Linked DNA regions of Xenopus tropicalis. The protein of the gene in region 1 purifies or fractionates together with the protein of each later gene. This does not show direct contact. Links are inferred from orthologs where the notes say so. Each region holds a gene or a part of one and is shown in the gene's direction. Other genes may lie near its edges.

Evidence for each region.
Region 2: the proteins of snrnp70 (region 1) and cdc5l purify together in Homo sapiens (affinity purification with mass spectrometry; 3 studies listed by BioGRID and IntAct, counting the BioPlex papers as one, with this or other methods). This does not show direct contact. The link is inferred for Xenopus tropicalis from reciprocal best matches to the Homo sapiens genes SNRNP70 and CDC5L.
Region 3: the proteins of snrnp70 (region 1) and mrps14 purify together in Homo sapiens (affinity purification with mass spectrometry; 3 studies listed by BioGRID and IntAct, with this or other methods). This does not show direct contact. The link is inferred for Xenopus tropicalis from reciprocal best matches to the Homo sapiens genes SNRNP70 and MRPS14.
Region 4: the proteins of snrnp70 (region 1) and snrnp200 fractionate together in Homo sapiens (co-fractionation; 3 studies listed by BioGRID, with this or other methods). This does not show direct contact. The link is inferred for Xenopus tropicalis from reciprocal best matches to the Homo sapiens genes SNRNP70 and SNRNP200.
Region 5: the proteins of snrnp70 (region 1) and tfip11 fractionate together in Homo sapiens (co-fractionation; 3 studies listed by BioGRID, with this or other methods). This does not show direct contact. The link is inferred for Xenopus tropicalis from reciprocal best matches to the Homo sapiens genes SNRNP70 and TFIP11.
Region 6: the proteins of snrnp70 (region 1) and srrm2 purify together in Homo sapiens (affinity purification with mass spectrometry; 3 studies listed by BioGRID and IntAct, counting the BioPlex papers as one, with this or other methods). This does not show direct contact. The link is inferred for Xenopus tropicalis from reciprocal best matches to the Homo sapiens genes SNRNP70 and SRRM2.
Region 7: the proteins of snrnp70 (region 1) and snrpd3 purify together in Homo sapiens (affinity purification with mass spectrometry; 6 studies listed by BioGRID and IntAct, counting the BioPlex papers as one, with this or other methods). This does not show direct contact. The link is inferred for Xenopus tropicalis from reciprocal best matches to the Homo sapiens genes SNRNP70 and SNRPD3.

The regions. Positions count from the first base shown.
Region 1 is NC_030683.2:113,680,957-113,685,649, forward strand, and holds the start of snrnp70 (U1 small nuclear ribonucleoprotein 70 kDa), read left to right. Parts: upstream 1-1,450; 5' UTR 1,451-1,689; intron 1,690-1,980; exon of another isoform or gene 1,981-2,020; intron 2,021-4,693. UniProt on the Homo sapiens protein: Component of the spliceosomal U1 snRNP, which is essential for recognition of the pre-mRNA 5' splice-site and the subsequent assembly of the spliceosome. SNRNP70 binds to the loop I region of U1-snRNA.
Region 2 is NC_030681.2:148,154,753-148,158,758, reverse strand, and holds part of cdc5l (cell division cycle 5-like protein), read left to right. Parts: intron 1-2,118; coding exon 2,119-2,307; intron 2,308-3,755; coding exon 3,756-3,904; intron 3,905-4,006.
Region 3 is NC_030680.2:98,126,085-98,130,530, reverse strand, and holds the start of mrps14 (28S ribosomal protein S14, mitochondrial), read left to right. Parts: upstream 1-1,278; 5' UTR 1,279-1,653; coding exon 1,654-1,698; intron 1,699-3,059; coding exon 3,060-3,227; intron 3,228-4,124; coding exon 4,125-4,307; 3' UTR 4,308-4,446.
Region 4 is NC_030679.2:125,100,081-125,104,720, reverse strand, and holds the start of snrnp200 (U5 small nuclear ribonucleoprotein 200 kDa helicase), read left to right. Parts: upstream 1-1,334; 5' UTR 1,335-1,427; coding exon 1,428-1,472; intron 1,473-2,594; coding exon 2,595-2,758; intron 2,759-4,640. UniProt on the Homo sapiens protein: Catalyzes the ATP-dependent unwinding of U4/U6 RNA duplices, an essential step in the assembly of a catalytically active spliceosome. Plays a role in pre-mRNA splicing as a core component of precatalytic, catalytic and postcatalytic spliceosomal complexes.
Region 5 is NC_030680.2:15,115,523-15,119,528, forward strand, and holds part of tfip11 (tuftelin-interacting protein 11), read left to right. Parts: intron 1-356; coding exon 357-463; intron 464-763; coding exon 764-932; intron 933-1,111; coding exon 1,112-1,355; intron 1,356-1,834; coding exon 1,835-1,977; intron 1,978-2,673; coding exon 2,674-2,839; intron 2,840-3,374; coding exon 3,375-3,727; 3' UTR 3,728-4,006. UniProt on the Homo sapiens protein: Involved in pre-mRNA splicing, specifically in spliceosome disassembly during late-stage splicing events. Intron turnover seems to proceed through reactions in two lariat-intron associated complexes termed Intron Large (IL) and Intron Small (IS).
Region 6 is NC_030685.2:12,492,689-12,496,694, forward strand, and holds part of srrm2 (serine/arginine repetitive matrix protein 2), read left to right. Parts: coding exon 1-191; intron 192-2,683; coding exon 2,684-2,785; intron 2,786-3,075; coding exon 3,076-3,240; intron 3,241-3,342; coding exon 3,343-3,423; intron 3,424-4,006. UniProt on the Homo sapiens protein: Required for pre-mRNA splicing as component of the spliceosome. As a component of the minor spliceosome, involved in the splicing of U12-type introns in pre-mRNAs.
Region 7 is NC_030677.2:152,604,998-152,609,557, forward strand, and holds the start of snrpd3 (small nuclear ribonucleoprotein Sm D3), read left to right. Parts: upstream 1-1,656; 5' UTR 1,657-1,679; coding exon 1,680-1,805; intron 1,806-4,246; coding exon 4,247-4,439; intron 4,440-4,560. UniProt on the Homo sapiens protein: Plays a role in pre-mRNA splicing as a core component of the spliceosomal U1, U2, U4 and U5 small nuclear ribonucleoproteins (snRNPs), the building blocks of the spliceosome.

The DNA.
Region 1 (4,693 bases):
ACTCATTATGCGCATTCGTGTGAACAAACATGACTGCCCACTCCGGAGCTCCTTTCCGCACCAGATGGTATAGCGCACCCCCAATGAATGAAATTACTAACTTTTTTTCAGGCCAGTACTCCTCTTCAGAAAATGAGCACCAGGCTGCCATCTTACCTGCATTGATCCCATGTGCCAACCTACACAGGGTCAGACTGGGGTATGCAAGTCCCACTGGGGCACCTAACTCAGGGCCCCCCACTACCCGCCCACTCAAATCCCGCCTGCCCCTTCCCCCCCACTACCCGCCCACTCAAATCCCGCCAGCCCCTTCCCCCCCACCGTGTGCAACTTTGACTTACTTTTACCAGGGTTGGGGAAAGTATGGCAGCAGTGAGTAGCAACGGGGAGCAGGTGGGGATCAGGTCTGGGTCGTTGGGGCCAACCAGGTTTTTTCCCTGTATCCCACTGGCCCAGCCCACCCACTCCATGCTTATCTTTTTGACATAGGAACAATAATGTGCTCTCTACACAAGTAGAGCCAATTTCCATTTAAAAGGGGGAAATTTGGCTCTTAAAGAAGAGGCTTTTTGCCGCCCCTAGAAACTGCCCACTTACTGCCAGCTGAGGCAAGGTTCTCAGACAAGTGCGGTTCTAAACGGATCTCTGGGTAATGCAGGTAAGATGGCAGCACCCATGTTGGTGTGTTTTTTCTGAAGAGACACTCTAGCCTGGGTAAAAAAACAGCAATTTAAATGACAAAGTAAACATAATAACAGAGGGTGGCAATATGTTAATTGCCCCCAGTTTTTTTTGAATGTTACACCAACTCACAGTACAAAATGGGGGGGGGGGGGGGGTCCTTTGCAATGCTACAGTTTCAATAAAATACAGACATAAATAATACAATTTGTCCTTAAAAGAGATTTCCACCCATCCCTATTAATAACATTGGGGTGGCAAACCTATCCAGATCTGATATAAAGCTGGTTTCTGCTACATTGTTTCATGGGTCAGAACCAGCAGTGCAGATGATATAAACTACCTGATACTTCTTTCAAGCGTAATTACAGTGAAAATCATATTTTTATTAATAAAGGCTACTTATGTATGTAGCACAGTACAGCACAACAACAGAGTAATACATGTTTTACTATAATAACAAATACAAAGCATAATTACATAAAAAAAAAGTCTATAAAAGACAAGGGGAATGAGACCCCTCCCCCGTTGAGCTTACAGTCTAAGGAGGTGAGTAATTTAAAGACTCGAAGTAGCTTAAAGTTACATTTTCTTAGGTAAACACTTCAATATTCTACCCGCACTAATTCTAAAATACCAACTGCCAGACTACCCTCACGGACGGTCTGCGGGCTAATAAATGCTACAGGCTGAGAATCACTAAAAATAGAGCCCGCCACAAAAACCAGCGGAGCTCTTTCTTCTCGGCCTCTGTCGCGGAGTAATACATCTACAATTGTGTTATAACCCTTGTTCCGAAAGGGGCGTGGTTTAATGGCATCTTGCTCTTGCCGTGTGCGCGGAGGGATTCGGATCTGATATGCAGTGCGGCCGTGGCCTATTCACACGACGTGCGGCCTAGGTGCAGTGAAGGAGACGGGAATTTCCCGGGTGTGAGGCGCCCGGTTTGCTCAGGACAGCGGCGTTGATAGAGGCTGAGTTCCGGGAACTGTCTCGGTACGGCTGTGGGTAAGCGTTGGGTGTGTGATTGAGGAAAGTAGCGTTAGGGTTTAGGGCGCTCCCATGTGTATGTAGTAGAACTAGGCCGGGGCCTTGAGATTGGGCGCCAGAGCCATGCATGAGAATGGCGGGTTTGCCTCATGTGCGCGCTAAGGCTCTCCGTTCTACTGAATAGGGTGGGGGCCCCGCACTGAGGCGGAGCGGTATGGGCTGCGGTGGCGGAGAGTTACAGCCGGAGTTGTGCAGCGGTTCCATTCTTTGGTACGGGGAATCACGTGGGGCCCCAGTTGCAGACATGGCGCCCGGATATAGGAACCTGCGGCTGTAAGGGCGACTGTAGGTACGGCTCTGACGTGTTTCTCTGCCGGAGTCTGTGGGGCCACTTATTCTAGCGTTGTTTACATGTGGAGAGTCCATATGCTGAGATGTGTAGCCGCCAGTTCTTCTTCCACTATTCTCTTTGTCTTTTCCCACTGGGCTGATATCCTGGTGGCCCCTATTCTCCCAGTTTTTCCCTAATATAGGTTCCTATGGGTATTTCCCCTTTATATTGGTACCTGTGTGTGTTTGTAGTGCTGGCCTGGGGTATCTGTAGCCTCCTGTCTCCTTCCTGTATTTCCCCTTTATATTGGTACCTGTGGGTGTATGTAGTGCTGGCCTGGGGTATCTGTAGCCTCCTGTCTCCTTCCTGTATTTCCCCTTTATATTGGTACCTGTGGGTGTATGTAGTGCTGGCCTGGGGTATCTGTAGCCTCCTGTCTCCTTCCTGTATTTCCCCTTTATATTGGTACCTGTGGGTGTATGTAGTGCTGGCCTGGGGTATCTGTAGCCCCCTGTCTCCTTCCTGTATTTCCCCTTTATATTGGTACCTGTGGGTGTATGTAGTGCTGGCCTGGGATATCTGTAGCCTCCTGTCTCCTTCCTGTATTTCCCCTTTATATTGGTACCTGTGGGTGTATGTAGTGCTGGCCTGGGGTATCTGTAGCCTCCTGTCTCCTTCCTGTATTTCCCCTTTATATTGGTACCTGTGGGTGTATGTAGTGCTGGCCTGGGGTATCTGTAGCCTCCTGTCTCCTTCCTGTATTTCCCCTTTATATTGGTACCTGTGGGTGTATGTAGTGCTGGCCTGGGGTATCTGTAGCCCCCTGTCTCCTTCCTGTATTTCCCCTTTATATTGGTACCTGTGGGTGTATGTAGTGCTGGCCTGGGATATCTGTAGCCTCCTGTCTCCTTCCTGTATTTCCCCTTTATATTGGTACCTGTGGGTGTATGTAGTGCTGGCCTGGGGTATCTGTAGCCTCCTGTCTCCTTCCTGTATTTCCCCTTTATATTGGTACCTGTGGGTGTATGTAGTGCTGGCCTGGGGTATCTGTAGCCTCCTGTCTCCTTCCTGTATTCCCCCTTTATATTGGTACCTGTGGGTGTATGTAGTGCTGGCCTGGGGTATCTGTAGCCTCCTGTCGCCTTCCTGTATTTCCCCTTTATATTGGTACCTGTGGGTGTATGTAGTGCTGGCCTGGGGTATCTGTAGCCTCCTGTCTCCTTCCTGTATTTCCCCTTTATATTGGTACCTGTGGGTGTATGTAGTGCTGGCCTGGGGTATCTGTAGCCTCCTGTCTCCTTCCTGTATTTCCCCTTTATATTGGTACCTGTGGGTGTATGTAGTGCTGGCCTGGGGTATCTGTAGCCTCCTGTCTCCTTCCTGTATTTCCCCTTTATATTGGTACCTGTGGGTGTATGTAGTGCTGGCCTGGGATATCTGTAGCCCCCTGTCTCCTTCCTGTATTTCCCCTTTATATTGGTACCTGTGGGTGTATGTAGTGCTGGCCTGGGGTATTTGTAGCCCCCTGTCTCCTTCCTGTATTTCCCCTTTATATTGGTACCTATAGTAATGTATAGTGCTGAGAATGTTGTGTGTACGTCTCAGCATTCCTCTTTGTGTGCATAATTAGGAGGAAAAGGGAGGTAAATGAATTGGTTCTAGAGAGCAATTTTCCCCCCTTTAGTCCAGTCGCTTGTTTACCATTCCCCCTGCACCTGGCCACACTGCCATCTTTCAGGCTGCATTCACGCACTTCAGGGCCTTTATTGCAAGGTGATGGTAATACGCTAGCAATGCCCCAGATTTGCATGTGTGGTGCAAAGTTTAAAACCTTTGTCCTACCTGGCCTGTAAAGGTGTCTGTCAGGTACTGTAGTGTCAGAAACCCAGTGGCAGTAACAAATCAAGTATGTGATTGGGGTTAAGAAGAGCCTCCCTGTATAACAAATAGTTTTGAGAGAAAGCGGCTGAACAATCCGCTAAATAATTCAGAGTTTGCAAATAAAAAATAAAGGCAAAAAATTGCAAATTCTTAGAATAACTCTACATCATACTGAACGTTAAAGGGGGTTGTTCACCCTTAAGTTAACTTTTAGTTTGAGACAATTTGCAGTTGGTCTTAATTTTTTCTTTGTAGTTTTTCTATTTTCAATAGTTTTGTCAACTCTCTGGTTTGGTTGCTAGGCTCCAAATTACCTTAGCACCCAGGGAATGATTGGAATGAGAGACTGATAATTGAATAGGAGAGAGACAAAGTAACAACAATAAAAGTGTAGCCTCACAGAGCAGTAGGTTTTCTTGGTTTAGGGGCTCGATGACCCCCCATTTGAAAGCTACAACGAGTTTGTAGAAGGTGGCAAATAATTCAAACTATAAGCGAAATAATAAGGACCAGTTGAAGAGTTTCTTAGAATTGTCCATTTTATAACATGCTAAAAGTTAAATTAAAGGTGAGCCACCCCTTTTAATGATCCAGTATGCTTTGCCAATTAATACATAAAGGTGCAAGAAATGTACTCTGGTTGCCCTGGGGTGTTTGTTTTTTGATACTTGGCGTCTAATTCCATCATAAAATGGGGAGTATATAGGAATTAAATCTCTGCACTTAGGGATGGTCATGACATTTTTATAGCCCTGAAAAAAGGGGCTGGGGGGTCAGATCTCAATGATCAAAAAATACAGAATAAAGACA
Region 2 (4,006 bases), on another chromosome or scaffold:
TCCTGAATCCATCACAGAGAAAAGTAAGGTTGGAAAATGGTTTCTGCTTGGCACAGGTAATGCTGAAAAAAAGTTGTTTAATTTACAGTGGAGGAAATAATTATTTGACCCCTCACTGATTTTGTAAGTTTGTCCAATGACAAAGAAATGAAAAGTCTCAGAACAGTATCATTTCAATGGTAGGTTTATTTTAACAGTGGCAGATAGCACATCAAAAGGAAAATCGAAAAAATAACTTTAAATAAAAGATAGCAACTGATTTGCATTTCATTGAGTGAAATAAGTTTTTGAACCACTACCAACCATTAAGAGTTCTGGCTCCCACAGAGTGGTTAGACACTTCTACTCAATTAGTCAACCTCATTAAGGACACCTGTCTTAACTAGTCACCTGTATAAAAGACACCTGTCCACAGAATCAATCACAAACTTGGTCATCAATTACAAGAAACGTTTGACCTCTGTGCTTGCAAACAAGGGTTTTTCCACTAAGTATTAAGTCTTTTTTTGTTAGAGGGTTCAAAAACTTATTTCACTCAATGAAATGCAAATCAGTTGCTATCTTTTATTTAAAGTTATTTTTTCGATTTTCCTTTTGATGTGCTATCTGCCACTGTTAAAATAAACCTACCATTGAAATGATACTGTTCTGAGACTTTTCATTTCTTTGTCATTGGACAAACTTACAAAATCAGTGAGGGGTCAAATAATTATTTCCTCCACTGTAGATAGTTTATGTAATCCTTCTCCATTGCCAGGACCTCACTCTTTTCTAACTTAATCCCTGCTTTAGTGATCAGACACCGTAAACATTTTAAAAAAATAGCCTTAAAACAGTTTCCTATAGGTAATATCCTAGTTACCAAGCTGGTTGATCAGTGCATTTAAGGGCGAAGACACACAGAGCTTCTAGTAGCAGCTACTAAAATAGACAATGCCGATCATTTACTGATAACTGTCTCAGTATTGTCTATGGCAGGGTATTTTCTGGGGTTTAGTAGCCATGAAAAAGTAGCAGCTACTAGTAGCTCTGTGTGTCTTCACCCTTATTGGACAGATATTAGCTGCTAATTTGGCCCTTGCAGAACAAGTTGGCAGTTTTTTGGCCATGCAGTGTTTAAACAGCCCGTCTGATAGCTAACTTAAAATTTACCAGATAGCTATCGGGACGTATTTGCATAGGCAGTAATTATAATCTGATGTTGGTCGGGGCCAAATGACCAGCAGACATTACATGCCTAGCTAGCTTTAGGTGACGTTTCAGTGCAAGTATATGGCAGCTTTGCAACTTTGGGAATTACTTAAAATCTCAAGGCTGGCAGTGGAATGCGGGATTGGTGGGTGGGGCACTTGGCATGCCAATTTTATGGCAAGTTTTACTTTTAGTTGTTTAAAAAGAAAATAAATGATACATCTTTCATTAACTGTGCAGAAACTCCTGATAAAACAAAGACTCCATAAACTGTTCCATATGTATTAGGGACATTATTCTTTGTTTTTTTAATGTAATGGAAATAGAGTTACATTTGGAAGTACTTAATTCCTGGGGTGCAGGTGATTCTTGGGAAATAATTGGGGCCAATGCAGCAGTCAGAAAAGCACTACCCATCCCAAAGGGGTTGTTCTTTGAGTTAACGTTTAGTATGATGTAGAGCGTAATATTCTGAGACAATTTGCAATTGGTCTTAATTTTTATTTGTAGTTTTTTAATGTTTTGAATTTCTGTTCAGCAGTTTTCCAGTTTGGGGTTTCAGCAGTTATCTGGTTGCCAGGGTGTAACTTACCTTAGCAACCAGGGAGGGTTTTGAATATGAGACTGATATATCAATAAGAGGGAACCTGAATAGTAAAAAAAGTAACAATAAATTGTAGCCTCACAGAGCACTAGTTCTCAGTAGTGGCTTCCGGGGTCAGTGACCCCCATTTAAAGCTGGAAAGTGTCAGAAGAAGGTGGCACATTATTCAAAAACTATCGACCAACTGCAAAGTTGCTTAGAATTGGCCAATCTATAGGGAATCTCTAAGGAATGTGTTGTGTGTAACCCACCTTGTGTTTTCAATGATAAATACGTGTGGCGAGAAACATGCCCCGGAATGACACTTTCTCCTGTTGCATTAGATTTCAGATGCTGAACTGGAAGAAGTGGTAAAGATCGGGCAAGCGAGTGAAATAGCTCGTCAGACGGCAGAGGAGTCGGGTATAACCAATTCCGCTTCCAGCACGTTACTGTCGGAATACAATGTCGCCAATAATAGTGTGGCCCTCAGGACGCCCAAGACACCAGCCGCGCAGGACCGCATACTGCAGGTACATGGGTGCTTCCACGCTGTGACGGGTGCAATGTTTCTAAATTATATTCAGTTCTGTTATTTTGTAGAATTTTTTTGTTCCTTGCCTTCTTTTTTTCTTTTTATTCTTCTGAACTCTTTTCCCTCCTTAAGATAAAACCACCTTTCTTCTGGTCTGAAGGGATGCACTTTTGTCCCATGGCTTTCACCAGGAGATAGTGTAATTTAATATACAGGTATGGGACCTGTTATCCTGAATGCTCGGGACCTGGGGTGTTCTGGATAAGGGATCTTTTCGTAATTTGGATCTCCATACCTTAAGTCTGCTAAAAAATCATTTAACCATTAAATAAACCCAATAGGGCTGTTCTGCCCCCAATAAGGGATAATTATATCTTAGTTGGGATCAAGTACAGGTACTGTTTTATTATTACAGAGAAAAGGGAATAATTTAACCATTAAACCCAATAGGGCTGTTCTGCCCCCAATAAGGGGTAATTATATCTTAGTTGGGATCAAGTACAGGTACTGTTTTATTATTACAGAGAAAAGGGAATCATTTAACCATTAAATAAACCCAATAGGGCTGTTCTGCCCCCAATAAGGGGTAATTATATCTTAGTTGGGATCAAGTACAGGTATTGTTGTATTATTACAGAGAAAAGGGAATCATTTAACCATGAAATAAACCCAATAGGGCTGTTCTGCCCCCAATAGGGGGTAATTATATCTTAGTTGGTATCAAGTACAGGTACTGTTTTATTATTACAGAGAAATTAAATATTTTTTAAAAATGTGAAATATTGTGAATGTGAATCTTTCTGGATAATGGGTTTCCGGATAATGGGTCCCATATTTGGTGTAAACCAGCACAATTGGCCAACCTTTGTTCAACAACTTGGACTTTACATACCCTATATTAACTTACTTTATCTTTTCTGGATTTTCTCTGTTTCACTAATGCCATTTTTTGATTACTGTGGACCAAAACTGTACTTCCAAGATATAATTCCCCTTTCCTGCTGTAAATCTATAGCCATTGCTAAAGTACTGCAAAGGTCCAGTCAGGCACACCCAGCCAGACCAGCATCCCCAGGGGAACTCACTCCCGCACTTTTGCTGGGTACCCAGACAGGTTGCCTGCAGGCTGTCCACACACACAGGAAATTGAGGACCTTCTGTCCAAAACACGACCAAACAGACAGAAAATTGAGGACCTTCTGTCCAAAACCCCACCAAACAGACAGGAAATTGAGGACCTTCTGTCCAAAACCCCACCAAACAGACAGGAAATTGGGGACTTTTTTTAAAAAATGGTCACATAAGTTTACAATGTGCGCACAGCGATAAAGGAATTAGAAGAAACTGACTGAAACTCATCTGCTACTAGTTCTGAGTTCTACAAAGCGTGCATTATAGCTCAAAGTGCCTTTCTCTGCACCCACCCCCTATTTTTGTACCTTACAGGAAGCGCAGAATCTGATGGCCCTCACCAATGTGGATACACCATTAAAGGGAGGTCTCAACACTCCTCTTCACGAAAGCGATTTTTCAGGAGTTACACCTCAAAGACAAGTGGTACAGACGCCCAACACTGTGCTGTCCACACCATTCAGGTATGAGGAACACGCTAGTGCCTTCTGTAAAATTGGGACATTTCATTTTTATATATTTTTATTCATATGCCTGGAATGTTCCCAGTGGGACGGCCTTTTCTC
Region 3 (4,446 bases), on another chromosome or scaffold:
CCTTCAGCTCCCCCCAGCATCCTCCCAACATCCTCTAGACCCCCAGCATCCACCCAACATCCTCCAGCTCCCCCCAGCATCCTCCCCAACATCCTCCAGCTCCCCCCAGTGTCCTCCCCAACATCCTTCAGCTCCCCCCAGCATCCACCCAACATCCTCCAGCTCCCCCCAGCATCCTCCTGCTCCCCACAGCATCCACCCAACATTCTCCAGCTCCCCCCAGTATCCACCCAACATTCTCCAGCACCCCCCAGTGTCCTCCCCAACATCCTCCAGCTCCCCCCAGCGTCCTCCCCAACATCCTTCAGCTCCCCCCAGCATGCACCCAACATCCTCCAGCTCCCCCCAGCATCCTCCTGCTCACCACAGCATCCACCCAACATCCTCCAGCTCCCCCCAGCATCCTCCTGCTCCCCACAGCATCCACCCAACATTCTCCAGCTCCCCCCAGTATCCACCCAACATTCTCCAGCTCCCCCCAGTGTCCTCCCCAACACCCTCCAGCTCCCCCCTGCGTCCTCCCCAGCATCCTTCAGCTCCCCCCAGCATCCACCCAACATCCTCCAGCTCCCCCCTAGCATCCTCCTGCTCACCACAGCATCCACCCAACATCCTCCAGCTCCCCCCAGCATCCTCCCCAAAATCCTTCAGCTGCCCCTTACCTTTCTCCAGCTCCTCCCAGCGTCCCCCCCACCATCCTTCAGCTCCCCCAAAACGTCCTCCCCAGCATCCCCCAGCTGCCCCTTACCTTCCTCCAGCTGCCTCCTAGCGTCCTCCAGCTGCCCCTTACCTTCCTCCAGTGTCCTCCCCAGCGTCCCCCTGCTTTCTGTGGCTCCCCCTGCTCCTACCACCCCCGCCCGCTTGCTCCAGCTGCGCCACCCGGCTCTTCTTCTCCTCCCCGTGACGTCACACGCATGTCTCTCGGGAGCACCACAGCTTCTGCGCAGTGAATCTCTAAATGTTAGAACTGAACTGAGCGGCGCAGAAGCTGCGGTGCTAATGAAAGACGTGATGTGACGTCACGGGAGCAGAGAACTTTAAAACCGGGACAAATCTGCGGCAATCAGGGACTGCGGGACAGAGTGGCAAAATCGGGACAGTTGGGAGGTATGCTCTTGGGGTAACTGAGACTTACAGCTTAAAGGGAAATTTCACCTTTTTCATCAAAACTATAATAACACATAAAACAGGACCCCAAAACTCACCAGAAATGTGTTCAAACTTTAAATAACCTGCCAAATTTAGTCAAATGGGAGTGGTATTTAGGGGGTGTGGTCACAGAAATGGACATGGTCAAAAAATCGCACCACAGGCTGCAGCATTTATTTTTGTCCCTCTTTCCATTTGCAAAATGCTACACAATTGTTTTAACTGTGCATTTTGCACTTACTAGAATAAATATAATAACATTCAGACTGTGCCAGCCTTATAATCTACGAGGCCCAAATTGGGTCAAAATGCTTCAAGCTCCAACTTCTAACGCCTCATATATAAATTCGAATGCGGATGACCTTCAGCGGATTTTTTTACAATCTTAAAGCTTGCTGCCATCTACTGGCGCAATGGCATAGTTCACACCATTGTAAGTCTATACAAGCCACGCCGCTTGTAAGTAACAAAGTTGCTTGATTTTGAATAGCGTCTAAAAACAAGATGGCGGCTTCCATGCTGGGGAGTGTGTTTCGAAGCGCTCGGCAGGTAAATGGGACGATGACATTGACAACAGGCTGGTGGGCATAAAGGGCTGCGGGGAGGAAGACAATGAGTAAATCAGTAGAGCTAAATAAAGGGTGTAGTGATACCAGCGGCACTCACACGCAATAGGGTCCCTGCCCTTGGAAGTCCGGCAGCGGAAGAATCTCAGGGATAACTGAAGAAAATAAGAGTCCTCTAGTATTGTTTATTTGAATTATGGAAGGTAGTGCTACTCTCCGTGCAGCCTAGCATTGGGGTATTTCACCAATGTTATATATTCACAAGTTATATGGAGCCTTTTGTTTTTGCCAAATAAACACTTTGAATGGGGGGCAGCTAAATACTTATAATTAAAAAAAATGTATTTCCTATAATCAAGTGAATAAAAGTCCCATGTCTGGGAACCTATGCCAGATACTAAGCGCCCCAATAAGGCCTGTTTACATGTAAAATAGGAGTAGCGGGGCCTCTCAAATAGCATCAGTGATGACATGTGGCTTATATTTTCTTCACTGGAGGTTTATACGCCTTTATCTTGCTAATTAACATTACAACTTTTTCAAGAGCGTGGCCAGGTACTATATTATAAATATATAGAAGAGTAGTAATATGTTTGGTTTGGCCAACATGTGCGTTTGATCATTTTTAAATGGTACATATGCAGCAGCCATTTATGTTTAGGGTATTGGAAAACTTTGAAATAAATGCATTTTTGGGGAGGAATGTTTGTTCCAAATGCTGTAGACTTTGTTTTATTATTAATTACATCCCTCACCACCCACGCTAGGGACTCATTACAGTAGCTTATAGGGATGAACATTTTTTCCTTTCCAAGAGAAAACACGCGTAAAGGTACCAGTAGCAGGCCCAGAGTGACAATCTGGAATTGGCTTACACTTCAGTGGCCAAAATGCAGAAGTATCCATTTTTTTTTGTTATCAGAATGGCCAAACAAGTAGATTATGATATGTATGGCCCCAGAAATACTTTACAATATTAATCGATAATTCTAACCCCTTATCCGGAAACCCGTTACCCAGAAAGTTCCGAATTACGGAGAGGCCATCTTCCATAGTCTCCATTATAAGCAAATAATTCTAATTTTTAAAAATGATTTCCTTTTTCTCTATGATTCCTGTAATTATAAAACAGAACCTTGTACTTGGTCCTAACTATAATTAATCCTTACTGGAGACAAAACAACCCTATTGGGTTTAGTCAATATTTAAATGATTTTAAGCAGATTCAAGTTATGGAGATCCAAATTACAGAAAGATCCCTTATCCGGAATACCCTGGGTCACAAGCATTCTGGATAACAGGTTCCATACCTGTACTGTTAAAAAAAATCTTTTTTTTTTTCAGTTGTTTCCTTGGCCTTCTGCAACTTGTACAAATCAAGTCCGAAATTACTACGTTGACTGGAGGATGTTTCGGGATGTTAAAAGGAGGAAAATGGCATATGAATACGCTGATGAGAGATTGAGAGTCAATGCTTTGCGGAAAAACATTATTCTCCCTAAAGAACTGCGGGTATTTTATTTAAGCAATTCAGTACATCGGAGCAAATGCCCCATATTTACTATAGATACTATAGTTGGTAGTTTGATTTTGAAAAATACGGTTACCAAGATGCTACAAACCACCTGTTCTAACCATCTGAAGGTTGTTCCTCTCCTCTGGTTTGGACTACTGGGTGATCACAAACAACAACTTTATATCCTACTCCTTAAAATGATTATAGTGATCACACACATGCTTTAGAGGTTGCATATGCCAATTAATTGAAGGGGTTATGCAGTAAAATGCACTAAGTTTACCTAGGAGCAGTAACCCATAGCGATAAATCAGCAGGTAGAATTTTCTGGTTACCTGTATAAAAGGAAACATCTTATTGGTTACTGCTCCTGGGCAAACTTAGTGCCTTTAATTACATGTGGGGGTTAATGCTCTCAAGCTGTTACAATAACAATCCCACAACATTATGCACACAATAATTCAATGCTAAGTACGCATTAATCTATCTGCTCTCACTCCCTGTAACTTTTTTTTATATGGTGTACATTTGTCGTTCTTATGCTTTTGTAAGGCAAGAAATTGTAATTATTAACATGTTCTTAAGTTTGGGTGCATGTTTATAACTTATTCTGTTTCAAAGCACAGCCAAGATAGTAAATGAAGAAGCTGGTCATTATACAAGTTGATAAATAAAGCTTAATGTGATACTACAGCAGCCAATTGTCTCACCAAGGATCAGTCTAAAAGTGGCCACACATGGATCTGATTGGGCAGGTTTGATCAAGAACCCCTTGGGCTCATTGGCCAAAAATTACACATAGTATATGGCCAGCTTACCTCTGATGTTTGTGTCTTTTTGAACATTTATTAAACTGGGGAAAAATAAATCATCTGTTTCTCTTTTTTTCACAGGAAGTGGCAGATAAAGAAATTGCTGCATTTCCAGTAGATAGCTGCCCTGTAAGAATCCGTAATCGCTGTGTCCTGACTTCTCGACCACGGGGTGTAAAAAGACGTTGGCGGCTAAGTCGAATTGTGTTCCGTCATCTAGCCGATAACAACCAAATGTCTGGCATTCAGAGAGCCATGTGGTAGGAACAGGATTTGAGGGCCAACTGTCGAAGCTACTGGGCTACCATTTACTAAGGACATTTTTTTAATTAAAGTATCATAAGAGCATTCTTTGTTGACAATTCTTGACAAAACCTGGCTTATTTATATGTATTTAAAAAAA
Region 4 (4,640 bases), on another chromosome or scaffold:
TAGTGGTTACCTATGGTTATTATTTCGTGTACATACAATCTTATTTGCTCTTTAAGAAGCTTCGTGAATACACCTTCAGGTAAGTATTTAACAGCGCATTCATCCACAAAGGAAACGCTTAATATGCCGCTCACACAGTTACCTATTGGTTTGAAAAATCCTAGATTTTCAACTGGATGTATACATTACACCGAGCTTTACAGCGCATTTTTTTTTTTTTTTTTTGTGTGTCACATGAGGTTGAACTCCTGCAATAAAGGAGTATATTTTAAAGTCATACATAGTTCACTGAAAACCTATTCATACCCCTGACTATTGAATAAGAAATCCTGCTCTCCTTGGTTTTTCTTTTAAAGCACTTAATCTCAAAAAAAATTTTTAATGTGACTATTTTGTTAAAATAATATTGTTATATGTTGATTAATACCAACTTTGTACACTGTTCGAAAGTCATTTTGGCCCATTATGTGAAGTAGTTGTGCTTCAGGTTCTGGTAACTGAGATGATCCTTGTCATCGCCGTTTTCAAATAGCATCACAGATTCTCAGGTGGACTGGGACTTGGACTATGCCATTGCTTGAAATTTGGAAGAAGAGCTTTCTCTGGGTCCCCATCTGTTTTGCCAAACACCAGTTGTACTTTTACATGGTTCTTTTGGGGCAATGGCTTTTGTGTCTTCCTCCTATACAGGCCAATGTGTTATGCAGAACCCTTGATATGGCATGTCAATACCTACATATACAAACCTGATCCGCGCTTCTAAATAAACTAGTGATTAATTACAAAATGTGCTTTTTCCATTCATTAAAAAAAAAAAGGGTTTACCTCTGTGAGCTATATAGGAAAATTATTATGTAGTTGAGCTGCCCTCCTCTAACTAATCCAAAAAGTGCTCCTTATACTAACCTTAAAGAGTTGGCGCTCATGAAACACTACCAGTAATAAAATCAATCTATTTATTGCACAAAAATGAGAAATTCATATATTAAAAAATATAGGTGTTTTTTACTGATATTTTTTAATATATGAATTTCTCATTTTTGTGCAATAAATAAATTGATTTTATTACTGGTAGTGTTTCATGAGCGCCAACTCTTTAAGGTTAGTATGTCAATACCTACAGTAAAACGTGGGGATATATAGTATAATGTAGTGTAGCTGCTTTTTATCAACAGGGACGGGATATCTTGTTAAACATATATTTAAGTGCAAAATACATGGAGCTGAAACAACTATTTCAGCCTCCTAATACAAATAGATATCCTTTCACTGGTCGTATGTGATTTTCAATAAAGTTGCAAGGAAAAAAATGGTCGACGGAAGCGGCTTATGCTTGTACCGGAAGTGGAAACTCAGGGCCGGAAACTTCGTCTGGAGCGCGTTGTTTGCCCTGCGAGTGCGAACACGGCCGGGCAGCAGAGTGAACCATGGCGGATGTAACAGCCCGAAGCCTGCAGTATGAATACAAAGCGGTGAGTTTGTTAGGGGGAATATGTTAGCAACGAGAAGTGGAGTTGGGAAGATGTTAGCATGAATATTCAGCCTGTGGTTCGCCACGTAGAAGTGCGAGTTGTAGTTCGGCTACAGGTGCGGAGCTTTAGGGTGAACGCGTAGGGCTTCTCTGGAACATATTTAATAGAGTAAGCCAGTGTTCTATTGGGACTCCTGTAATCGCTGAGTCTGCTTCCTTTGTAATTGTATTCTTAGAAGGAATTGAACACAGTGTTGACGTAGCTATTGTTGAATATTAATAGGGGGCCGCCAGTTTGAGTTCTTACACAGTTGCATACAATGCCATAGCTTTAGCTGTTTCATTGCTTGTACTCTTAGCTGCATTACAGTTTCAATATGACACACAGTTGGCAGCCAATGTTTACATCAGACCATAGTTACATAGGGTTGAAAAAAGACCAGAGTCCATCAAGTTCAACCCATCCAAGTAAACCCAGCACACCTAACCCACACCTACCAATCTATACACTCACATACATAAACTATATATACAACCACTAGTACTAACTGTAGATATTAGTATCACAATAGCCTTGGATATTCTGCTTGTTCAAGAACTCATCCAGACCCCTCTTATAGGCATTAACAGAATCTGCCATGCATTTTTAGACACAACAATTATGCTTTCTGATAATGCATTTGATAACTGATGTCTCTCATTACATTATTACATTAAAATTACATGGTTTATATGGCATGCATGCCAGGTTAGAGCTTATAAATATGTATTGGGTCATAAAGAGTACAAGAGAACCCTGATTTTAGTTTTCCAGGGTCAAACTGTAAATCTTGGAAACTGTAAAATTGTGATTCTACTGTAAGAGAGGTAAAGAGAAAGTAACTTAAATTGTCTCCTTATTTCTTTAATGGATCTTATTGCAAAAGTGTGTGTAAAGCACAGCAGACATTATTCCAGGGAAAACTACTAAAAATCTAATTAGCTATAGTTAATTAGAAAACAAATATGGCATTGTGTTATTGGAAGCAAAAAAGGTAAACATGAACTTAATTAAACATTAGCTTCATAGCCCCTAGCTTATTGCACTGAATTCTAATTTATTTATTTATTTTTTGCAATGCAGAACTCTAACCTTGTACTTCAAGCTGATCGCTCCCTGATAGACCGTACCCGCAGAGATGAGCCCACAGGAGAGGTTCTCTCGTTGGTGGGGAAGTTGGAAGGAACTCGCATGGGGGACAAAGCTCAAAAAACCAAGCCACAGATGCAGGAAGAAAGACGACTTAAGTGAGTGGCAGTGCCAAAATGTCTTTCTGTAATAAATGTGATAGGTGTACAGGGTGGGCCATTTATATGGATACACCTTAATAAAATGGGAATGGTTGGTGATATTAACTTCCTCTTTGTGGCACATTAGTATATGTGAGGGGGGAAACTTTTCAAGATGGGTGGTGACCATGCTGGCCATTTTGAAGTCGGCCATTTTGGATCCAACTTTTGTTTTTTCAATAGGAAGAGGGTCATGTGACACATCAAACTTATTGGGAATTTCACAAGAAAAACAATGGTGTGCTTGTTTTTAACGTAACTTTATCCTTTCATGAGTTATTTACAAGTTTCTGACCACTTATAAAATGTGTTCAATGTGCTGCCCATGGTGTTGGATTGTCAATGTCAATGCGCCAATTGTGCATGTAACACTGTGCATCTGAAGTTATAGTAGTAAATATTAGTTTATTCCGAATAAGCTGAAATGGATAAAATAATGACATTCAGGTGAGAATGAATTGTTCTGCACTTTCCTTCAGGTCTTCTGTGAAGTTCTGTTTATGTACTGTATTTATATAGAACTACTTGTTTTTATCTTTAACCCTTATAAGGGTAATATTTTTAAATACCAGCCATTCTTCCAAGGCAATTTTCTTTTGAAGGATATATTTAGTGAAATGTCAATTGTTTGAAATTTCAGAGTAGTGATGATTTTAATTCAAGTACATACAATATAAAACTGCTGTATATTTACCACTATGCTGTAGCCTTATAGAGTATGAATTTGTTAATAAAATATACGTTTTGCCATAAAAGGTTTTGCAGTATTCTAGGAATGAAATTAGAACAGATGCCTTTCAGATTCAGAAAATGTATGTTTATATGTGTTGTGTATATATATAGATGATAGTAACCATTTACTGTACCAAGAAATATTTTGTCCATGTGATTTGATTATTTTAAAGGGGACATATCGTGTAAAAAACAGTATTGTGCCAATGATTTGTACTGATCTAAATATAGAAGAAATGTGCTTTAAAAAGTAGTGTTTTAGGCTGATTTATTGGCACTGGTCATGCCAATGTGTTCCTCTTCCTTCTGCCTTTCCTGGGTTGTGCAGGGGGGCCAGCACACTACACTGTAGGATAGGAACCAATCAGCAGCTAGGCTGACCTGATAGGGAACTGAATCCTGTATTTGCTTGTGTGACTGCAGGGCTGTGATTGACTTTTATTTTTTTAACATACCGGTAGGTTAATTGGCTCTGAAAAAATTGACCATAGTGTGTGAATGGGTCCTTTGGAACCAGGGACTGATGTAAATGATGTATAATTCCTATGTCTGTGTCATGGATATATAAGTAAAAGGATAACAATAAACATTTAAGTAGGACTGAAACAAAGCATGGCGATAATATATGGAATGATAATGTTTCTTGGAATCCTTAATATAAACCCCTGAACTGTGGCTTATTGTCAAGATGATATAGGAAAATCCAGGCAGTTGTAAGCTTCCCCATATATGCTTAAATTAAAGGAGTAGTTCTCCTTTCAAATGCTTTTCAGTTGCTTTCAGATAGTACACCAGAAATGAAGACTTTTTTTCCAATTGCTTTCAATTTTTTTTAATATTGAATTTTACAGTTTTTTTTCACCTCATGTCTCCCTGCAGCAAATCTGCAACTAATGAGTTGATACATTTTACATCTTTGACCCTGCTGAGTGTAAGCTGAGTTTCATTAAAGTCAGCTGTTCTAATTGATACAATAGTTGCTTACATTTATATACTAAAGAGAATCAACTAATGTAGTAACAGTTCTGCACCTGGATTACTGAGCTGACAGACTGAAACACTGGATACATTTAAAGGGGTAGTTTTCATTTAATCTCTAGTATGTTAT
Region 5 (4,006 bases), on another chromosome or scaffold:
AATGAGGGACTTTTCAATAAGAATCCGAGACTGTGGGCTGAGCTGTTAAAATCGGCACTTTCCCTTGAAAATCGGGACAGGTGGGAGGTATGCTTTGAGGAGTTTTTGGGTCGGGATTCAGGATAAGTGTCAATTCGCTTAAGGGGGCAGTAAAAACTGGGAAGTTCCTCCCCTATTGTGCCTATTATATGACATATAGCACAGCAGGAGATGGTGTGTTGATGGGCTGCTGACACTTAAGGGGCTGGGGCATTACTGATGTTATTCCAAAGCAAGATCATCCTATTACCTTTAACATATGTGCCCTGGGCCTATCCTTGCCCCAGTTTCTAATTGCTCTCTCTCTTCCTGCCTAGGATCCTACTTATGGGACTGATGTCATGAGTAAGTGGAAGAACCTTCTAGAGGAAGGTCACCTCCTATCTCACAGTGCACATGATGCATCTATGGACCCATACCACAGGTACCAATTACTCCCCTAGCCCTTTAGTTAAGTATTAGGTGGGCATAAACTATGTGTAAATCATCCTCCCAATGAAAATGTACCAAATAAATCACCCCCTTCCTTTCATAAATATCAGTTTCCTTGTTTACCTGGCGTTGGGTTGTGATGCTTTCCGAAGCTGCCCATAAATAAAGCACCCCCCGGTCACTAAGGGGTTAACTAGAGCAAATGTGGAGACAAAATGCAATTGATTTTTTGTGGATCATAAACTTTTAATGTGTTGTTTAAACCTCAGTGTTATTCTCTGTTCCAATGCAGATTGCTGTGGGAGACGTGGGTTCCCCTGTTGAGGAGTATCATTGCCCAATGGCAGCCCAGAAACTGCGCTCCCATGGTGGACTTTTTAGACTGCTGGGTCCATTTGCTGCCAGTCTGGATCCTGGATAACATACTAGATCAGCTTATTTTCCCCAAATTACAAAAAGAGGTAAGTAAGTTCCTTTGTTATCACTTATATGTGTGAGCAAACATTATTATGTCGTGGGCCACAGTATTCTCAGCATCTGGGCTTAGTACAAGAGAATGAGAGTGCTGTATTAGTCAGAGCTGGGCCAAGGCACCCATGGTTTTATATATTAATGTCATTCTTTACATTTCTGCATTAAGGTTGAGAACTGGAACCCCCTGACAGACACCGTCCCAATCCACTCGTGGATTCACCCCTGGCTTCCTTTGATGCAGTCGCGGCTAGAGCCACTCTTCTCTCCCATTCGGAATAAACTTGCCAACGCCCTCCAGAAATGGCACCCCAGCGATTCCTCTGCCAAGCTGATCCTGCAGCCCTGGAAGGAGGTGTTTACGCCAGGCTCTTGGGAAGCCTTCATGGTGAAGAACATTTTGCCAAAGCTAGGTGCGCTGGCGCTAATAAGAACATCTGTGTGTTTATCCACAATTTCATTTATTTACATTTCATAACAGGAATATCCAGTCCTATCTGTTCGTATATCCTGCTCTTTCTACAGTTTCAAGCTGAACTATGCTACTAATTTAGCCAATAAAAATAAATATTTGGGATTTATGTAGTAATATAGGTAAAGCTTCCCCCAATCAGTATTCTATAGCAATTAATCAGATGTTTGCTTTCATTATTCTGATTGCACTATATAAGTTAAAGCTGCCATCTTGTTCCTATGGGCTATTGGCTCAGATACAAATTACTGCTCCAAATGAGCGACCCATGATAAAAGTAAAGTGGCCACAAACCAGCTGACTTTTGGGGTATCCAAGGATTTCTCCCAAGCAATGTGCATTCCCTCTCCTGCTAAAATGGGGGTTCAGTTGCTCATCTCATGTACAGACCTCCAGTGACTCTTCTCTCTCCCCCTGTAGGCATGTGTCTCAGTGAGTTTGTTATTAATCCGCACCAACAGCACATGGAAGTCTTCCACTGGGTCACTGACTGGGAGGGGATGGTCTCTTTGTCCAGCATCGTAGGGATCCTGGAGAAACATTTCTTCCCCAAGTGGCTGCAGGTAACTATATTGTTGGAAACCATAATGGCTTTGCATTGAATTTGAATTTGGAATGTTTTACTATAAGAATCATTATTGTTTCCCCAAGTAGAAGTAGTCTGTGTTTGTGCACAGCTACAGGAAGAATGATATGCCCTGTTATAATAAAACCATAAAAGATAAATAAACCTTTAAAATAAATGAATGTAAAATTGCTGAGATTGCTATTCTAAGCACCTTTGCTGTTTTCATGTATTATTTTTTTATTCTTAAGATATTAAAGAACAAAGTACTGTTGACATTGTTTTACAACGGTGAATTGTGTTACAACAGTGCCATCTGCTGGTCAGTGTCCGTCCATGATGACGATGTTGTCAGGAGAAAGAAAGAGGGCTGATCTGATGCTCTTCTGGTTAGGGAAACATTAGAAACCTCAGATAACTTTTTCTCATCTGAATGTAAATTGCAAAAGTGCTTAGAATAGCACCCCTATCAATTTTACATTCACTTATTTTTAAGGTTTACTTATCCTAAAATAAGCCTTTCTGCAGTGTTTGTGGTTGGTAATAGGCTTCTCAAAAGCAGAGTTAAAAGAAAATGGCTCCTGTCAGCACACAGTAATAAAGCAGTAACTCCATGTATTAGGAAATGCGAGTGTTGCAGCTGTGAGGATAGATAAATACAGTGTTTCCTTATTGCCCTTCTGCTTCTTCTTAGGTTCTGTGCTCCTGGCTCAGTAATAACCCCAATTATGAAGAGATCACCAAGTGGTATCTCGGCTGGAAGTCCATGTTCTCAGACCTGGTGTTGGCTCACCCGGCCATCAAGGACAAATTTAATGAGGCTCTGGATATCATGAACCGGGCTGTGTCCTCTAGTGTCGGTAAGTAAATATATATTCTCCTATTCATATCTGCTCCTGTTTAGTAGGCTTCTGGTGGGCAAAAAACGGATCTGCCACTGTGTCAGTGAAGGGACGAGATAATAGGGGATTAATCTAATGTTATGTGAAGGATAAAGCAGTGATAGAAGAGCTGACATTATTTCATAGCTCTTCTCCCAATGCATCAGACTCTAACATTATTTCTTTGAGGGATTGAGGCTGTAGAAGAAGAGCTGATGGTCTTTCTTTGAGGGGTTAAGTGGGAGAAGAGCTGACTGTATTTCTTTGAGGGGTTGAGGCAATGGAAGAAAAGCTGAGAGGGCCTATTATTATATCCATAGAAGACCAATTCGATACCACTATGAATAGACTAAACAAACTTGCAGTGAGACTAGAATAGATGCTGTATGATTATATGAGTATAACAGTGCATTTGGATTACGGTTTGATGAGCAATGTTTGGGTGCAGTGGGTGCCGTGCCTTATGTTCTTTATTCAGTACATGACCCAACTGTCTCTTACTTGCCTGTTCCAGGTGCCTACATGCAGCCGGGGGCACGGGAGAGCATCGCCTACCTCACGCAGACCGAGAGAAGGAAGGACTTCCAGTACGAGGCTATGCAGGAGCGGCGAGACGCGGAGAGCATTGCTCAGAGAGGAATAGGGGCTGCAGCGGCTGTGCCCATGAACTTCAAGGACCTGATCCAGTCCAAGGCCGAGGAGCACAACATCGTATTTATGCCTCTAATTGGCAAGCGTCATGAGGGGAAACAACTTTACAACTTCAACCGCATTGTGATCTATATAGACAGAGGCGTTGTGTTCGTACAGGGAGAGAAAACGTGGGTGCCCACTTCCCTGCAGAGCCTTATTGACATGGCCAAGTAGACTTCTAGTCATACGGCAACTGTCAGCCACCCCTGGACTCTGTATATACCTGTATCTAATGGATTTGATAGTGTTCGAATACATTGATGGGTAGCTGATAGCACTTCCTATGTGACCTACTGGCTTCTTGTTTCCGAGGGCTTAATCCAATGAATAGAGACTGACCTGCAATTATTTTTGTATTTAATAAATCCACATTGCCCTTGTGTACCCAGGGGTCTAACCGCATCCCAGGATCTTTGTTATGCGGGCCTAGGTACCCATCATTGTACAAGAGTA
Region 6 (4,006 bases), on another chromosome or scaffold:
GGCTACGTCCAACGCAACCTGTCCTCTGTCAGACACAAGAAGGACAGGACCGATTACAAGTCCGAGGAGGAACTGAAGAAGCTGGAAAACCTCCTGGTGAAGAAACCAAACCAGGATATCTTAGATCACGAGAGGAAAAGAAAGGTGGAGCTAAAATGTTTGGAACTGGAGGAGATGATGGAGGAGCAAGGGTAAGAGACACATTAAACCAGTACAGGTATGGGGGTCTGTTATCCGGAAACCCATTATCCAGAAAGTTCCAAATTACAAAATGGCCATCTCCCATAGTCTCTATTATAAGCAAATAATTCTAATTTTTGAAAATGATTTCCTTTTCTTTGTAATAATAAAACAGTACCTGTACTTGATCCCAACTAAGATATAATTACCCCTTATTGGGGCAGAACAGCCCTATTGGGTTTATTTAATGGTTAAATGATTCCCTTTTGTCTGTAATAATAAAACAGTACCTGTACTTGATCCCAACTAAGATATAATTACCCCTTATTGGGGCAGAAGAGCCCTATTGGGTTTATTTAATGGTTAAACGATTCCCTTTTGTCTGTAATAATAAAACAGTACCTGTACTTGATCCCAACTAAGATATAATTACCCCTTATTGGGGGCAGAACAATTCTATTGGGTTTATTTAATGGTTAAATGATTCCCTTTTCTCTGTAATAATAAAACAGTACCTGTACTTGATCCCAACTAAGATATAATTACCCCTTATTGGGGCAGAACAGTCCTATTGGGTTTATTTAATGGTTAAATGATTCCCTTTTCTCTAATAATAAAACAGTACCTGTACTTGATCCCAACTAAGATATAATTACCCCTTATTGGGGCAGAACAGCCCTATTGGGTTTATTTAATGGTTAAATGATTCCCTTTTCTCTGTAATAATAAAACAGTACCTGTACTTGATCCCAACTAAGATATAATTACCCCTTATTGGGGGCAGAACAGCCCTATTGGGTTTATTTCATGGTTAAATGATTCCCTTTTCTCTGTAATAATAAAACAGTACCTGTACTTGATCCCAACTAAGATATAATTACCCCTTATTGGGGCAGAACAGCCCTATTGGGTTTATTTAATGGTTACATGATTCCCTTTTCTCTGTAATAATAAAACAGTACCTGTACTTGATCCCAACTAAGATATAATTACCCCTTATTGGGGGCAGAACAGCCCTATTGGGTTTATTTCATGGTTAAATGATTCCCTTTTCTCTGTAATAATAAAACAGTACCTGTATTATTAAAATAATTTTTTAGCAGACTTTAGGTAGGAGATCCAAATTACAGAAAGATCCCTTATCTGGAAAACCACAGGTCCCGAGCTTTCTGAATAATAGGTCCCATACCTGTATAGGACTAGTTGCCATTTATGCTATATAGATTGCTACAGTGTGGCAGCTCTGCACTTCACCATTGTGCCACATGACAAGCGGCAGGGGCAATGACTAAAAAGAGCGGACTAGGGGTGGGCAAGAGAGGCTCCTGTCTGGTGCCCCCCAATTGTTGCGCCCTAGGCAGCTGCCTCCTCTGCCTACCCCTAGTTCAGGCCCTGAGGCTATTTGCTTTAAAAAATGAACTTTAGAAGGCCTGGCTGCCTAGCACTAAGTATGCACACTAGCTTAGAGTCGCGTAAATTCACTTCAAGGAAAACTATACCCCCAAACAATGTAGGTCTCTATAACAAATATATTGCATATTTATATTGTAAATCCCTGCTTCATCGAAATAAGTCATTTTCATAAAAATATACTTTTATAGTAGTATGTGCCATTGGGTAATCCTAAATAGAAAACTGCCATTTCAAGAATTAAGGGCCGCCCCCTGGGATCATAGGAGTCAAAGTGCACACAGACAAGCCAAGGCACACATACATGCTAGGCCCCATCAGCCAATGAATGGACAGAGTTCTGCCTTCTGCTCCCTCACTACTTCCTGTTACAGTTAGAGCTGCATTATTTCCTGTCAGCTGATCTCTGAGGGAGCACCCAGCCCATCACAAAATGGCGGCTCAAGGGAAAGGATATAAAAGGGCAATATTTACTGATATATATATTCCAGTTTGGGGAGATTCTTTAATAGGTCACTTAACAAAATATAAACTATCTGTTGGTTATGTATACATTCTGGGGGTATAGTTTGCCTTTAAAGGGGCAGTGCACTTTCAGTTAACTTTTAAAATGATGGAGACAGTGATATTCTAAGACCATTTGCATTTGATCTTCATTTTTTGTTTTTTTTTTTCAAGATAGCTTTTTGTTTAGCAGCTCTACCATTTGGGATTTTAGCAGGTTTTGGTTGCTAGCATCCAGTTTAACCTAGCAACCAGGCAGTGGTTTGAATGAAAGGCAAGAAGACTAATAGGCGAGGCCTTGAATCGAAATATAAGTAAACGGTAACAATAACCTTGTAGCTTCATAGAGCAGTAGGATTATTGGCTACTGGGGTCAGTGGCCCCACCATTTGAAAGCTGCAAAAAGGCAGAAGAGGAAGGCAAATAGAAAAAAAAAAAGACCAATGGACAAGTTGCTAAAAATAGGGTATTCTATAACATAAGTTTATTTAAATGTGAGATGCCCCTTTAAAGGAAGCAGCAAATGAAACGTTTCAAGTTGTATAATACCCTATCTTAATTTCTCAATGCTCTTCTGTGTGCGCTCCAGGTACAGCGAAGCTGAGATCCAAGAGAAAGTGGCCACATTCAGACTGATGCTGCAAGAGAAAGATCTGACGCAAAGCAAAGAAGAGGAGAAGCAGAAAGCCAAGTAAGTGGCCAAACTAAGCTTTGTGAGCTGCAAGCCTTTATTGGAGGGTATATCTCATTTATCAAGCCTGGAGTGAAGCCCGAAACGTTGCCTTTGGCACTTGAGTAAAGACTCACATTTTTCAAAACAACCGGAGTGCTGCTGTTTTCTTCATTTTTGTATTTATCTGCCCGTCAGTGGGTACAGCGTGCACCTGGGGCTGCAAGAAGCTATTTTCACTGTGTAAGCACATGTTAACTGATTCTATTTGTTTATTACTCCCCATTTTTACACACTTTCTCTGTGTTTAGTATTTCAGAGACGCATCAAATGGCCGAAGCAAACGAGAAGAAGAATGAGCGGCTACGTGAGGCTTTCGGGATCAGTGACAGCTATGTGGACGGGAGCAGTTTCGACCCCAATCGCAGAGCTGCCAATGCAGCAGCCAAACAGCAGGAGCAGCAGAAGCAGTATAGGTAAGAATTAGCTTTCATGGTATGTGGGGGAATGGCATTCCTCCAGTGCATTTTCCTGTACACTGAGGACTTAATGGGTTAATGAGATTCTTCCTCTTGTAGTCTGATTGAAGATTCTGGCAGTTCTCGCTCCCCTTCTCCCACCAAACACAAGAAAAAGAAGAAAAAGAAAGATCGTGGACGGTAAGTGTGTTGGGGGTTTGAGGGCAGACATGGTTATTTCTCTAGAGGCGGGGCAGTTCTTAGGCTCCTCCTGTGTGTACTTTGCTTTAATTTAGCTCTGCCCCCTTCCCCAATTATTGTTCATCTGTATTAAAGGAGCAGTTCACCTTTAAAGTGGACCTGTCACTCTCACCTGAAAATTCAGCTACTGGTTCAGATAGTGCAGAAAAGCAGCGCTCTCTTTTTTTTTTTTTTTCCTTTTCTGTGTCTTTCCGCAGATATTGCCTATTATCTTTATGCCCTGTCAATCAAAAGTATTCAGCTACGCCTCTATGCCTTAGGCATAGAGGCGTCTCCTTTTATTCTACGTCACCACTCCTTCAATTCTCCCCCTCCCTATAGAGACTATCAGTCTCGCATAGCTTTAATGAGAACGCGCACACGTTATTATGGTAGAGACGCGCCTAACTATTGTGAGCGAGCTCTATCCTGAGATTCTTGGGGGTGCACAGACTCGCAAAGGAGCGTGACAGTTTCTCAATTTGGATGTGAGGAACTATACGCGTCCCTTCATTTACAGCGCATGCGCGATATTAAAGAGCAG
Region 7 (4,560 bases), on another chromosome or scaffold:
ATATTGGTTATAGATCCGCTGGTGACCTTCTCACCCAGATGCCCAATTTCTGGCTGCTAGAAGAACAGGACTAATGCGGATTATTGTGCCAATACCAGAATAAGCCATCTTGTTTTTCTTCAATGTGTTTCCACTGTGGCCTATGGCACTATCTATATATAGCTGCTATGGGTAATGTTGTTGTCCTTTTGTGGGAAAGCCAATGGGCAACTAAACCGTGTATGCCATTACCCTTACCTCAAGATTATGTGATGGTTTTACTAGCGCAGCCTGCAATTTTAGGCTAATGGCACAAACAGCAGTTTCAGGCTGCAGTGACAGGTTAATTCCAGTCCTGTATGTGCACATACATACATTCATGGTAGAATGGGGGGTGAATCTACATTTTACAGCAGTGAGCAGGGGTACATTTTTGTGCACAGATGCCATTTTGTCCATTTTACTTAATGTTGCATGTGCTTTCTGGCAGTTCAGAAACAATGCATTCAGCAGATATATAAACAAAATAAGCCTGATCATTCTGGGCCCATACATATGCCAGCGGTCTGCCAATTCAGTTAATAAAGTCAGAATCAGCACCTATTAAAAGCGCAGACTAAAAGAAACAGTCTGATCAGGTGCGGACTGGAAATGGGGCCTTGGCATTTAATTATACGCGGATACCCAAATAGCCCCCTATCACCCCAATAAATAGTGTCTGTGACATCTTACAGCAGCCCTTCTGGCATTTATCACAATCCACAGATTGCACGTCTGAGTCTAATTGGAGGTTTCAGCTCAAGATATTTAATAATAATTCATAATATATAATATGAAAAGTTGCAGTGCAACTAGCCGCTCTTAAATGGTGTGAATAGATAAATGGGTTGATGAGCGGAACTAAGTCACTCATATCTGTTTCCCACCGGAAGTTGTTTGCTTGTGCAGTCGCCGGGAAAAGGGGGCAGAGAGATACGACAGCCTGTTTCCTTTCGCTGTGCATTGTGGGGCAGGCGGGACGCCATTAGAACGCAGAACAGAGCCACGCTAGTAAGTATTACCCAAAGCAAACAAAAGTTCGGTAAAAAGTCTGCGCTTTGCAGGATTGTCAGAGAGGCCCGGGGGTTGCAGCGTGCGGATATCTGGGCGGGGTGTGCGTCTCGGTTACTCGGCGCTTGTTCGCTTTCCCTTAGGTCTGTGCGGTTGGCAGCTTTGTATGAGTGTGAGCAGGGCTTCCCTCTAAATATTGCCTTATGGTGAGGTTATATACAGGGTGCCGGGCCCAACGCATCTCACTGTGTTACCAGTCCGTTATCCGTTTCTATAAATATTCCTGCCTTAGGCCGGGGGCACTGAAACGTTTGTGTAGGCCTCAGTGCCAGTATCCCAGGGAACTCATTCATTGAGGGTTACTCCTCTGCTTCTGCGGGTTGTGCTGCTGCGATGTCCTAACGTGCATGTGTTTCTGAAGGGCTGGGCATGTTTGTGTGCATATGTATGGCTGAATTTATAGACTGTAAGTGATTAAAGCTTTAGGCTGGATAAACATTATGTAATAAGGATTTTTATTTGAATATACCTTATAGTTTGCACATGGCTGCATTGTATGCAGTAACCTGCGTTGCGCTTTGTATGTTCTCCACGTTTTTTTGCTAATTTTTATTTCTCCAATTGCAGGTTAATCTCCATTAGCTCTCAATATGTCTATCGGTGTACCAATTAAAGTCCTTCATGAGGCAGAAGGCCACATTGTGACATGTGAAACTAACACCGGAGAGGTATACAGGGGGAAATTGATTGAAGCAGAGGATAACATGAACTGCCAAGTAAGTAAAATAAGCAAGTCATTCGTATTATATCTATAGCAAGTGCACCTAAACTTATAAATATTTACCTTATGCCATGTTTGTAAGTACGTTGGTGATTGCAGTATAAACTCTAGTGATAGACCTTATGGACCAACAATTGTAAAGGCTGTGTTAAACTAAAAATGTGTGTGTGAATTGTTAGGGGCAAAGTATTTTCCAAAAGGCACCTATTTATTCCCTATATAGTGCCTCGGTTACCCTATCCATTGCAAAAGAAGCAGTTATATTGTGGTCAGAAGCGTAAATAGCTTAAAGGAGACATGGAAAAATAGGGGAAAAAAAAACCTAATTTTGTAGACAATTATGAACAATATATGCTGCGGGTTTCATTTGGGCTAAAAAATACTCATCTGTAAATATGGCCTCTTTATTGGAGCTCCCTGTAGATCCTATCAGTTCTCTGTCCCTGTTTAAAATGAAGGGTGGGCGTGTCCTAACGGTCCCTGCCAGAAGCACAGTAGGAGGGGGGAAGGCAATCACAGCCCAGCACTCACACAAGCAGAGACAGGCTTCAGTTCCCTATCAGGTCATCCTAGCTGCTGATTGGTTCCTATCCAGCCAGCAGGAAGTGGAACAGATGGGCGGGACTATTAGGGTTTTGGTGGAATTTCTCAATAAAACAGTCCAAAAAACAATTTTTTTTAAACCACAGTCCTTCTATATCTAGAGGAGTATAATTTACTGGTACATTCTTAATTTTTATACAATGTCTCCTTTAATCCTAATCTATTTCAATTTCCTAGCTGTGTCTCTAGATGTCAGTATATTCACAGTAAAGCTCAGTGATAAGGAGCAGAAGTAAAATATGTAAATGCTGTTGTTGCTATGCACTTTTAAACTGTTAGTTACAGGAGCCTAGTTAGTGGGGTGTGGCTACACCCGTATTGCATTCCTGTTGTGTAATTTAAAAAATATTTAGGGTGACAATTTCCTTTTGCTCTTTTTACTAAGCACTCTTCTGTTGTTCATGTATAAACTTCTCTTTTAACATGGAGAAAAGTCTCCTTTATCTACCCACAGAAGCCAAACGGTAACATATTTTGGTGTTCCTATTCTTTTAAACTATGTAAGTGTTTCAAAGTAATCAAAATACGATGTAGTGTTACCCTGCACTGGTAGAACTGGTGTTTGCTTCAGTAACACACAGCAGCTTGGATGGCTGCCCCCACTGATACTACTATAGTTCATATAAATAAGCTGCTGTGTATCAGTGGGGGCAGCCATCCAAGCTGGGATAAACTGAGTAAGGGCTCTGGCACACGGGGGAGATTAGTCGCCCGCGATTAACTCCCTGTTCGCGGGCGACTAATCTCCCCGAGTTGCCTACCCCTGCCATCCCACCGGCGAACATGTAAGTCGCCGGCGGGATGGCAGACGCGGCGGGGCGATTTCCGGAAATCACCGAAAAAGACTTGCGAGTCTTTTTCGGCGATTTGCGCGAAATCGCGCCGCCACGTCTGCCATCCCGCCGGCGACTTACATGTTCGCCGGTGGGATGGCAGGGGTAGGCAACTCGGGGAGATTAGTCGCCCGCGAACAGGGAGTTAATCGCGGGCGACTAATCTCCCCCGTGTGCCAGAGCCCTAAAGGTGCTGGTTACATAAGCTGTATTGTATTTTACAGAGCTTATCTTTTTGTCACCTGTGCCATTCAGCCCTCTTTGTTTGAATAGCTGCCCCCATGCAGCTTTATTTCTATAGACCAGGGTTTCCCAACCTTTTGTACCTGTGAGCCACATTTAAATGTAAAAAGAGTTTGGGAGCAAATGAAGCATAAAAAATTCTTTTGGGTTGCCAAATAAGGGCTGTTATTGGCTATTTGGTAGCCCTTATGGGGACTGGAAGCCTACAGGATTGTGCTGGCAATACAGCTGGTTTTTATGCAACAGAAACTTGCCTCCTTACCAGAAATTACAAAAAATAAGCACCTGCTTAAAGTCCACTGGGAGCCACTGGTTGGGCATTACTGGTATAGACTATAGCAGTGTTTCTAAAGCATTTTAACGCAGCTGTATATTACCTTGTACAATAAATAGGTTGTTTTTGGCTATTTTAATTAAAAGGGTCCTCCAGCCAAAAACTGTTTTTGTAATGAAAAAATTTAATTCTACGCAACTTGGATATACATTAAAGGAAATTTAAAACTGCAAAGACTGGTCTTCTAAACATTCTTCTACTGTGTATGAATGTTCTTGGTGCTGTCTCCCAGGAAAAGAACATGGTTTTGGCTATTCTTTGAGCTAAACAAGGGGGAGACATGAGTGTGAAGTCAAACACGATCCCGTTAAAGCTTTATAAATATAAAACATTGTAATAGAATTCCTCACATAGTGCTGTATGTTAAGCCTGTGTCCTTTTTTCTTCCCTCCATGGATGCTTAAATTGTACTTTGACTTTCAGATGTCAAACATCACTGTAACGTACAGGGATGGCAGAGTGGCACAACTAGAACAGGTCTACATCAGAGGCAGCAAAATTCGTTTTCTCATCCTCCCAGACATGTTGAAAAATGCTCCCATGTTAAAGAGTATGAAGAATAAAAACCAGGGTTCTGGTGCCGGCAGAGGAAAAGCAGCTATTCTCAAGGCCCAAGGTAAGTTTTATTTGTGTAGGGGCAGGGTTAACAGGGTGATGTCTGTAAAATTCCATGATCATCATTAAAAGCCCTCCGTTCCCTTGGTTTAAGTTACTAATTGTTAAATTAGTTTATTTTG